2 linked regions of the Yarrowia lipolytica genome follow. The protein of the gene in region 1 interacts with the protein of each later gene in a pairwise test. Links are inferred from orthologs where the notes say so. Each region holds a gene or a part of one and is shown on either strand. Other genes may lie near its edges. The genes, in order: YALI1_B27777g and YALI1_D36137g.

What was found.
Region 2: the proteins of YALI1_B27777g (region 1) and YALI1_D36137g interact in binary tests that used the Saccharomyces cerevisiae proteins (3 or more experiments, as listed by UniProt). The link is inferred for Yarrowia lipolytica from reciprocal best matches to the Saccharomyces cerevisiae genes APL4 and APS1.

What each region holds. Positions count from the first base shown.
Region 1 is NC_090771.1:2,775,723-2,780,817, forward strand, and holds YALI1_B27777g (uncharacterized protein), read left to right. Parts: upstream 1-2,019; coding exon 2,020-4,440; downstream 4,441-5,095. Other genes in the region: YALI1_B27805g (uncharacterized protein), read left to right, coding at 4,820-5,095. UniProt on the Saccharomyces cerevisiae protein: Adaptins are components of the adapter complexes which link clathrin to receptors in coated vesicles. Clathrin-associated protein complexes are believed to interact with the cytoplasmic tails of membrane proteins, leading to their selection and concentration.
Region 2 is NC_090773.1:3,612,549-3,616,123, reverse strand, and holds YALI1_D36137g (uncharacterized protein), read left to right. Parts: upstream 1-1,898; coding exon 1,899-2,061; intron 2,062-2,524; coding exon 2,525-2,835; downstream 2,836-3,575. Other genes in the region: YALI1_D36161g (uncharacterized protein), read left to right, coding at 36-1,304; YALI1_D36122g (uncharacterized protein), read right to left, coding at 3,172-3,575. UniProt on the Saccharomyces cerevisiae protein: Component of the adapter complexes which link clathrin to receptors in coated vesicles. Clathrin-associated protein complexes are believed to interact with the cytoplasmic tails of membrane proteins, leading to their selection and concentration.

The sequences.
Region 1 (5,095 bases):
AACACACAGTTCAATCCCTGGATGTCTGAGAGGAGGTATTCCCGAGACGCTTTGACTCGAGAAACTGCGTAATTCACCACAGCCCTTTTTAACCCTAGAAACACGATATTGCCTCAGACTCAAGTTCGAGGAGAGCTAACATTCAGGGTGAGACGTTGTGGAGGCGGGGGAGTTGTCTCATGATACTTAGATGAGTTCCGAACGCCTTGAAATAGTCGGGTGACAACAGACAGAGTGGCCTCGATGCCAGAGTCAGCTGTCTTTCTGTGTCAGTCCAGAGGGGGTGCAGTATATACAGTTTGAGGGGCTACCCTGTGGTTCAATCCGGTGTATGGTGCTTTACAGGATGGCAGGGTTATGAGATTTAATGGCGGGGTAGAGAGGAATTGGCACTTGTTCGAGCTCATAAAGAACATTTGGGAATATGCAATTATCAAAATTCGTCAGGGATAAAGCGTGTGTGGGTGTTGGATCTCCATTGAAAGAGGCAATAAGGGACTGACAACAATCTTAGAACTGTTGCTTGGAGAGTATGTATTTGAATATACGCTCTACAGAAGGATGGTAAAATGAAATATTTTATTAAACAGCCGTAAACGGGGGCTGACACGATGAAGCAGGCATTTTGGACTTTTACTCAACTGGTCGAAAGCTGGCCGATAGAAGTTGATCTGAACTTCATTAATTGTGCACAAGTGCTCTCTTCTCTTCTTGGATTTGAGAGCTGAAAAGGCTCAAATAATGACTTTTAGTAAGCCTTCAACTACTGGTTCTTTTCTCCAGCAGTGGAAGAGATACCCCAGGAGTTATGGGTAGCATTGTCATCGCACACACAGTTGATCCTCATGGTTGCCAAGGAAGTTGAGAGTGTCTTTCACGTTGAAAGAGTTTTTACCATCATTAGAGTAAGTGCCATCGACTCTAGAGGCATGATTTTGCTCTTGATAGCCATTCCGAGGCTGGTAACCTGAGAATCCCTGTCTCGCACACTTGCTCTGCGACAAGGACGTCAGACGTCGCAATGGGATTTCGAATTTTGCTACTGAGAAAGTCATATTAGAAAAAAGATGTTCCATCCACAATGGCATTCAAAAGTAGGACTGCGAGCCCTCAACAGCTCTCTACTAAGTGATTTATTGGAAGCGGAATCCACATGTGTGTACATAGCCCTTCTCTGATGGATTCTAAGAAGTCTTGCATACCACCTGATTACAATTAAGAAAAATCTCCCCAGTCATCGGGGAAAACATCACAATGGTTTCTCATTTCACTTCCAGTGCTCCGTAACCGGCCCTCACCCAGCACCCTATATAGACTACTATTTAGCTTTCTGTAGCGATGACCTTCTCATGAAACACAACTGAACCACATATCAACAGATTACACCAATGTATACATGGGAGATGAAGATGGAATTACCTGTATCGTCCATATTTATCGTTTGAATACAATGTTTGGGTCAAAACGCGTCGCCTGGCACTAATTAAGGAGTCCCCTGCCCCTTGCCTTTTTCAAAGTGCCAAAGTAAACCTCACATAATACTTGAACAATTGATACTGTAACATAATTTCCACTCCAACATCTACCTCTAAATCAACCCCAGGTAACTCAATTTCTTTCAAAATATGTTCAAGTGTATTTTCAAGTGTATACGCACAAATTTTACTGCAATAGATGTCAAGGGATTGTCCGAATCGCCCACTTTATGGACATACCCTTCGTTAAGGGTCCACTTGAACAACCTCAAACAATTACTAAACTACGCACTGAGCTGCGCGCATATCTGAACATAACGTAATGTATTTTCCACGACCACAATCCATAATAAAAATAGTTACGTAAATAGAAATGGACAACAATTATGCCTTATTTGTCACATCAACCTGCTACAGTACCTCCACCACCCCTGGTTCGTAACACATCCACATTCTCAAACACACAATTATACACAACCCTAACCCTACACCCAATCTCAAGACACGTTGCGTCAACATCTACAGTTGGCAACATACCACAGAAATGACGTCTCTGAAATCGTTCATCAAGTCCGTGCGTGCGGCCAAGACGCTAGCAGAGGAGCGGTCGGTGATCCAGAAGGAGTCTGCCGCCATCCGAACATCGTTCCGAGAAAACTACGTCGACCCCAACATTCGAAAACAAAATGTGGCTAAGCTGTTGTATTTGTTCACCTTGGGTGAGCGAACACATTTCGGTCAGGTGGAGTGTCTGAAGCTGATTGCTAGCCCGCGCTTCAGTGAGAAACGTCTGGGATACCTCGGTACTATGCTGTTGCTGGATGAGAACCAGGAGACCCTGACTCTGGTGACCAACTCTCTGTCCAACGATCTCAACCACCCCAACCAATACGTTGTGGCTTTGGCCCTGACCACCTTGGCCAACATTGCATCCACCGAAATGGGCCGGGATCTGTTCCAGACCGTCGACAAGATCATGTCGTCCAGCAACCCCTACCTGAAGAAGAAGGCTGCCGTGTGTGCTGCTCGAATCAGCAGTCGAGTGCCTGAATTGGCAGAAATCTTCGTCGAGAAGGCCAAGATTCTGCTCACAGATAAGAACCACGGCGTGCTGCTGTGCGGACTCACTCTGGCCACTGACATTTGTGTCCAAGACGACGAGATTCTCGAGCAGTTCCGACCCGTCGTGCCGACTCTTGTCAAGCTGCTGCGCCAGCTGTGCACCTCGGCTTACGCTCCCGAGCACGACGTGACCGGAGTTACCGATCCGTTTTTGCAGGTCAAGATTCTTGGTCTGCTGCGTGTGCTGGGAGCTGGAGACGCGTCTGCCTCTGACGCCATGAACGACGTGCTTGCCCAGGTGGCATCCAACACCGACTCCGCCAAGAACGTCGGCTCCTCTGTGCTGTACGAGTGCGTGCGAACTATTTTCGCCGTCGAGGCAGACACCGGTCTGCGAGTGCTGGGTGTTAACATTCTTGGAAAGTTCTTAGCCACCACTGACAACAATACGCGGTACGTGGCGCTCAACACTCTGCTCACAGTCATCGACATCGAGCCCGCAGCCGTGCAGCGACACAGAAACACCATTGTCGAGTGTCTGCGTGACGCTGACGTGTCTATCCGACGACGAGCTTTGGCCGTGGCATACGCTCTCATCAACGAGAGCAACGTGCGAGTCATTGTTAGAGAGCTGCTGACATTCTTGGAGTCTGCAGACGCCGAGTTCAAACCCTCGGTCACCGCCCAGATCGCCATTGCTGCTGAAAAATACGCTCCTAATAAGCGATGGCATATTGACACTCTGGTCCGGGCTCTGGCTCTGGCTGGAAGTCACGTCCCAGAGAATGTGGTCTCTTCGTTCATTGCTCTGGTCGTCACCTGCGACGAGGAGCTACAGCTGTACACTGTCCAGAAGCTGTACTCAGCTCTGCGGGCCGATTTCACCCAGGAGGGTCTGTCCCTGGCCTCGCTGTGGCTGCTTGGAGAGTTTGGCCACATTCTTATTCGATCCGGCAACTTCTCGTCGGAAGATGGAGAGTCCCAGGAGGTATCCGAGGAGTCTGTTGTCACCATGATCGAGAACCTGCTCAAGTCTGCCTACGCCTCTGATGTTGTGCAAGAGTACGGAGTCAACGCCCTGGTTAAACTCAGCACCCGAATCAACAATGCTACACAAAAGGAGCGGGTGCGACGAATCCTGGAGTCGTACGCTTCCTCTCTCAATGTGGAGGTCCAGCAGCGATCTGCCGAGTATACAAAGCTTTTCTCCAACATGGGTGTGGCCAAGGGTGTGCTTGAAAAGATGCCTGCTCCCGAGCTCAAGAACGATCTTGGCAAGAAGTACGCCAAGCCTAAGAAGGCCAAGAAGGTGACTGCTTCCAAGAAGGATGTCGACTTGCTGCTCGATCTGGTCATGGACGCCCCTGAGCCTGCTAACGGAGGAGGATCTTCTTCCGCAAACAACTCGGATCTCCTGGCCGACATTCTGGGACCCTCTTCTCCCTCTGGAGGTGCGTCCGTCGCCACCCCTAGCTCCAATCAAAACATTATGGATCTGTTTGGCTCAGGCGCCCAGTCATCCCCCGTCTCCACACCCGCCTCAGCCCCCGCTGCTGCGGCATCTACAATCTCCGCATACTCCGGCAACGGCCTGTCTCTGGGCTTTTCCGCTGGAACCGCCCAGGGCCTCACGGTGCCCATCACCGCCCACTTCTCCAACACCGGTGGCAGCCCCATCTCCAGCATTTCCCTCCAGGCCGCTGTGCCCAAGACACAGAAGCTCGCTCTGCAGCCACCAGCTTCCCAGAGCATTGGTCCTGGCAGCACCACCACTCAGCAGTTGCGAGTGACGGTACAGGGTGCTGGTGCTGCCGTCAAGTTGCGAGTCCGGCTGGGATTCTCTGTCAACGGCCAGCAGGTCCAGGAACAGTTTACCTTTGACAAGTTTGGTCAGGTGGTTTAAGTGGTATAACAATAATAGAGGGATAATAATCTATACTGTGTTGCAAGGAATTCAGTTTCAATCGGTATACTGCGTTGCAGTATAACTGTCGTAAAATGTATGTGATAGATTACATAAGCTAGAGATGTAGACTATAATATGGCGCACAGATAAGTGGAGATATAGTCATGTGGCCATTGAATTCGCACCGAAAAAAATAGATCAGATTAATATAATAAAGTACCCACAAATATCCCTACTTCATCCTACAATTCCCCGGCTAATTTTTCATTCTTCATCCCACGACTTTAACTTCCAACACCTCATATCATCACCGGTCGTCGAAACTCAATTTTCTCCATTGATTCATTCATCAACACACACAAAAAAGACAAAAAAGATGTCTGACAAACGACGAGCCGATCTTTGTGTGCCCTACGTGCATGTTGTCGACAAGCAGAACGACGCTCAGTCCTTCATCACCACCTCGCTGCCCATGGCTGCTATGTTCCTTCGAAACAAGCTCATGTCGTGGACCGCTCTCTTCACCGCCATCACCGCCTTCATGAACGAGCCTCTGATCAAGCCTACTCAGAGCGACGGTGCTTCTCAGCCCGCCTGGCTGTCTGTGCTCGTCTCTCTCGTTGGTCTGTTCACGTGCTACATGGATCTGGCT
Region 2 (3,575 bases), on another chromosome or scaffold:
ATATACACACATTTCACTCACCACACATACACAACATGGTACGAAACAGTGTGCGAGTGACCCGATTCGCCATTCTGGCGGTCGTGCTCATGTTCCTGCTCTACAAGCTGAGCTCCTCGTCCGTGGACATCAGCGGCATGGTATCCAACAGGACCAAGCCCGATCTGAACGAGTTCAAGACGGAGGTTGAGGAGACCAAGGACACAGTCGTCGAGCATGCCAAGGAGGCTGCCAATGACGTCAAGGAGGGCGCCGCGAAGGCCGTCGACTCCGCCCACAAGGTCGTGAACGCTGCCCCCTCTAAGTTCCAGCCCCTTACCGACTACCAGCGAGAGAACGCCACCTTTGTGACCCTGGCTCGAAACAGTGATCTGTGGGAACTGGTCGGATCTATCCGACAGGTCGAGGACCGATTCAACCACCAGTTTGCATACGACTGGGTTTTCCTTAACGACGCCGAGTTTTCCGATGAATTCAAGAAGGTGACCACCGCCATGTGCTCAGGTAAGACCCACTATGGTAAGATTGGCGAGGAGCACTGGGGATTCCCCGATTTCATTGATCAGGAGCGAGCTGCTCGAACCAGAGAGGAGATGCGACAGAAGCAGGTCATCTACGGTGACTCCATTCCCTACCGACATATGTGCCGATACGAGTCCGGCTTCTTCTGGCGACACCCTATCATGAACCAGTTCAAGTACTACTGGCGAGTCGAGCCCTCCATCAAGCTGCACTGTGACGTCAACTATGATGTGTTCAAGTTCATGCGAGAGAACAATAAGTCCTACGGTTTCACCATTTCTCTGTTTGAGTACGGCGCCACCATTGAGACTCTGTGGGAGACCACCAAGAAGTACATGCACCAGTTCCCCCAGATGGTCCACCCCAACAACCTGATGAAGTTCATTTCCGACGATAACGGAGAGACCTACAACAAGTGCCATTTCTGGTCCAACTTTGAGGTTGCTGACCTTGATCTGTGGCGAGGAGAGGCTTACTCCTCCTACTTTGACTACCTTGACCACGCTGGTGGATTTTTCTACGAGCGATGGGGTGATGCCCCTGTTCACTCCATTGGTGCTGCTCTGTTCGCCGACAAGGACTCTATCCACTACTTCGAGGACATTGGATACTTCCACAACCCTTTCAACAACTGTCCCACCACCGAGAAGATGCGACTGGATGGTCGGTGCATGTGCCAGGCCAGCGATAACTTCTCTTGGCACTCCTACTCTTGCACTGGCAAGTTCTTCGATGCTCAGGGCATGACCCGACCCGAGGGATGGGAGAAGCAGAAAAACTAAAAAGAGAAGGCTAGAGAGCGTTAACAGTAATTGCACTGGTTGTAGTTAATAGTTGAGAATTTTATTATATATAAAATAAGTGCGACAATTGTACGAGTACAAGTAATGGTGGCTGTGGATGAGCTACTTGTGATAGTAGCTACTTGTAAAAGAATCAATCGATTACATACGACCTTGTCGATTCTATTTTCTTTCAATTCTAGGGAGATACATTTCGTTCCAAAAATGCATGTGAACCGCTCGTTGTGTCATACAAATTGTACTTGTACTTGCTTATAGTATCGCGGTTGTTATAGTATGGTTTTGGGACATACACAGCCTAATTTGCATCTCTTAGCAGTCATTGAATTATGCCTAAGGAAAAAGATCACCGACAGGTAAATACCTCATCTAGTGACTTGATTTTTAATACTTCTCCCTTTTTAATCCCCTCCCTTCGCCTTTCAATAGCTCCAAGTAGCTACAAATAGTCCAACTCACGACAACTACAAGTAGCTTCACTCTGACTTCGTCGCCAATATAGTTTCATTGGGAACTGCAAGCGTGTCATCTGTCTTCACCACTCTCATCAAAGCATCTCAACACACACAACAAATGGCCATCCAATATCTGCTGTTGCTATCGCGTCAGGGCAAGGTTCGTCTGGCCAAATGGTTCACAACTCTCGGCACCCGTGAAAAGGCCAAGATCGTCAAGGAGGTTACTGCACTGGTTCTTTCCAGACGAACAAAGATGTGCAATGTCATTGAACACAAGGGTGAGTAAGATAAGGAGGACGTGACTGCGTTGGCTCGATGACTTACCAAGCGCGAGTTGGTTCACTTCTTGCTGAGCCACCGTCAGAAATTCTTCCAAGAAGAGTACCTCTACGAAACACCTCATCCACAATGAGTGCTGTGGCTTAGTTCATTGTGCTGTGAAGTGGCAAGAAGAGCGCTGCAGAGCTACACTTTCTTGGGGTCGGTAAAAATGGCTCACTGATCGCCGAGGTGTCTGATACCGAGCTATCGGAAACATTACAGCAGTAGTGACGACGCGAGAGAGAAAAGGAGCTGTGCGGCAGATGACGACAAGACTACACGACCCGTCAGAAGACTGCACAAAAGGAGTGGACAAATAAGTCACTTTGTATTGTTGATTCAATACTGCGGCAGTCTCCCAGTCCAGTGGGCAATGTTGTGTCCTCAGTGATGCACCACCACGAAAAAAGACTAACACAGAAACCAAGGTTGTTTTCAGACGTTATGCATCGCTATTTTTCATTACAGGCATCGACTCCGATGACAACGAACTAAACACTCTCGAAATCATTCACAGATACGTTGAGCAGATGGACAAGTATTACGGCAACGTGTGCGAGCTCGATATCATCTTCAACTTCCAAAAAGCATACTACATTCTCGACGAGATTGTGGTCGGAGGAGAGATCCAGGAGTCGTCGAAGCGAGAGGTTCTTAGACGAATCTCTCAGCAGGATGCTCTGGAGGCAGCCGAAAACGAGGAGGAGGGTCTGTCGAGACTATTGGCATAATTTGGGACTTTTAGAACATATGGGGTCGCGAGGTAGAATGAATGTACTCATACTAATACATGAGATGTATGTAGACAAATGGACAAATGAGTTTGGGAGCAGTCAGTTGCTCTGAAGCTCATAATATCGTCTCGGTCTCACAAATACAGTAGATTTACCCCTTTGTGTGTGTATGTGGTGAAGACCAAGTTACATAATCGGGTTAGGGTAGGACCCAAATACGGTGATTGCCGTGTTGTTAAATTACATCACAGTGCCTGTGAGAGGCACAAGTATCAAAATTGCGAGTTTCCGGTCAATTGGTCTATTAGTATTCGTCATCTATATATAATTTGCTTACTGGATGGTATGGGTGGCCTCAGCCTCCTTGAGAGTGAGCTTTCCGGAGTAGATCTCGTCGACTCGCTTGTTGATATCAGCGAAGGAGTGGAAGATGTTGTAAGGCAGAGACATCTTCTCGAGGTAGACAATCAGATCCTTGCCAGCCTTGGCGAACAGCAGATCTGTCTCCCTTGCGGCAGAGAGATCAGAGACACCGTCACCACAGTAGAACATGGTGGGTCGCTTGCCCTCGGGGAGCTCGGCGTAGGGCTTGATGCATCGGGACTTGTCGTGGCCAAAATGCGACTCGTCTCGGTAGACAATGTTCCACTCTCCATCAGGCTCGATCTTCACATCGTTAGCGATGATCTCAATGTCATCTGCGGCCTCCTCTCCAACCAGCTTCTTGAGCAGAGCAA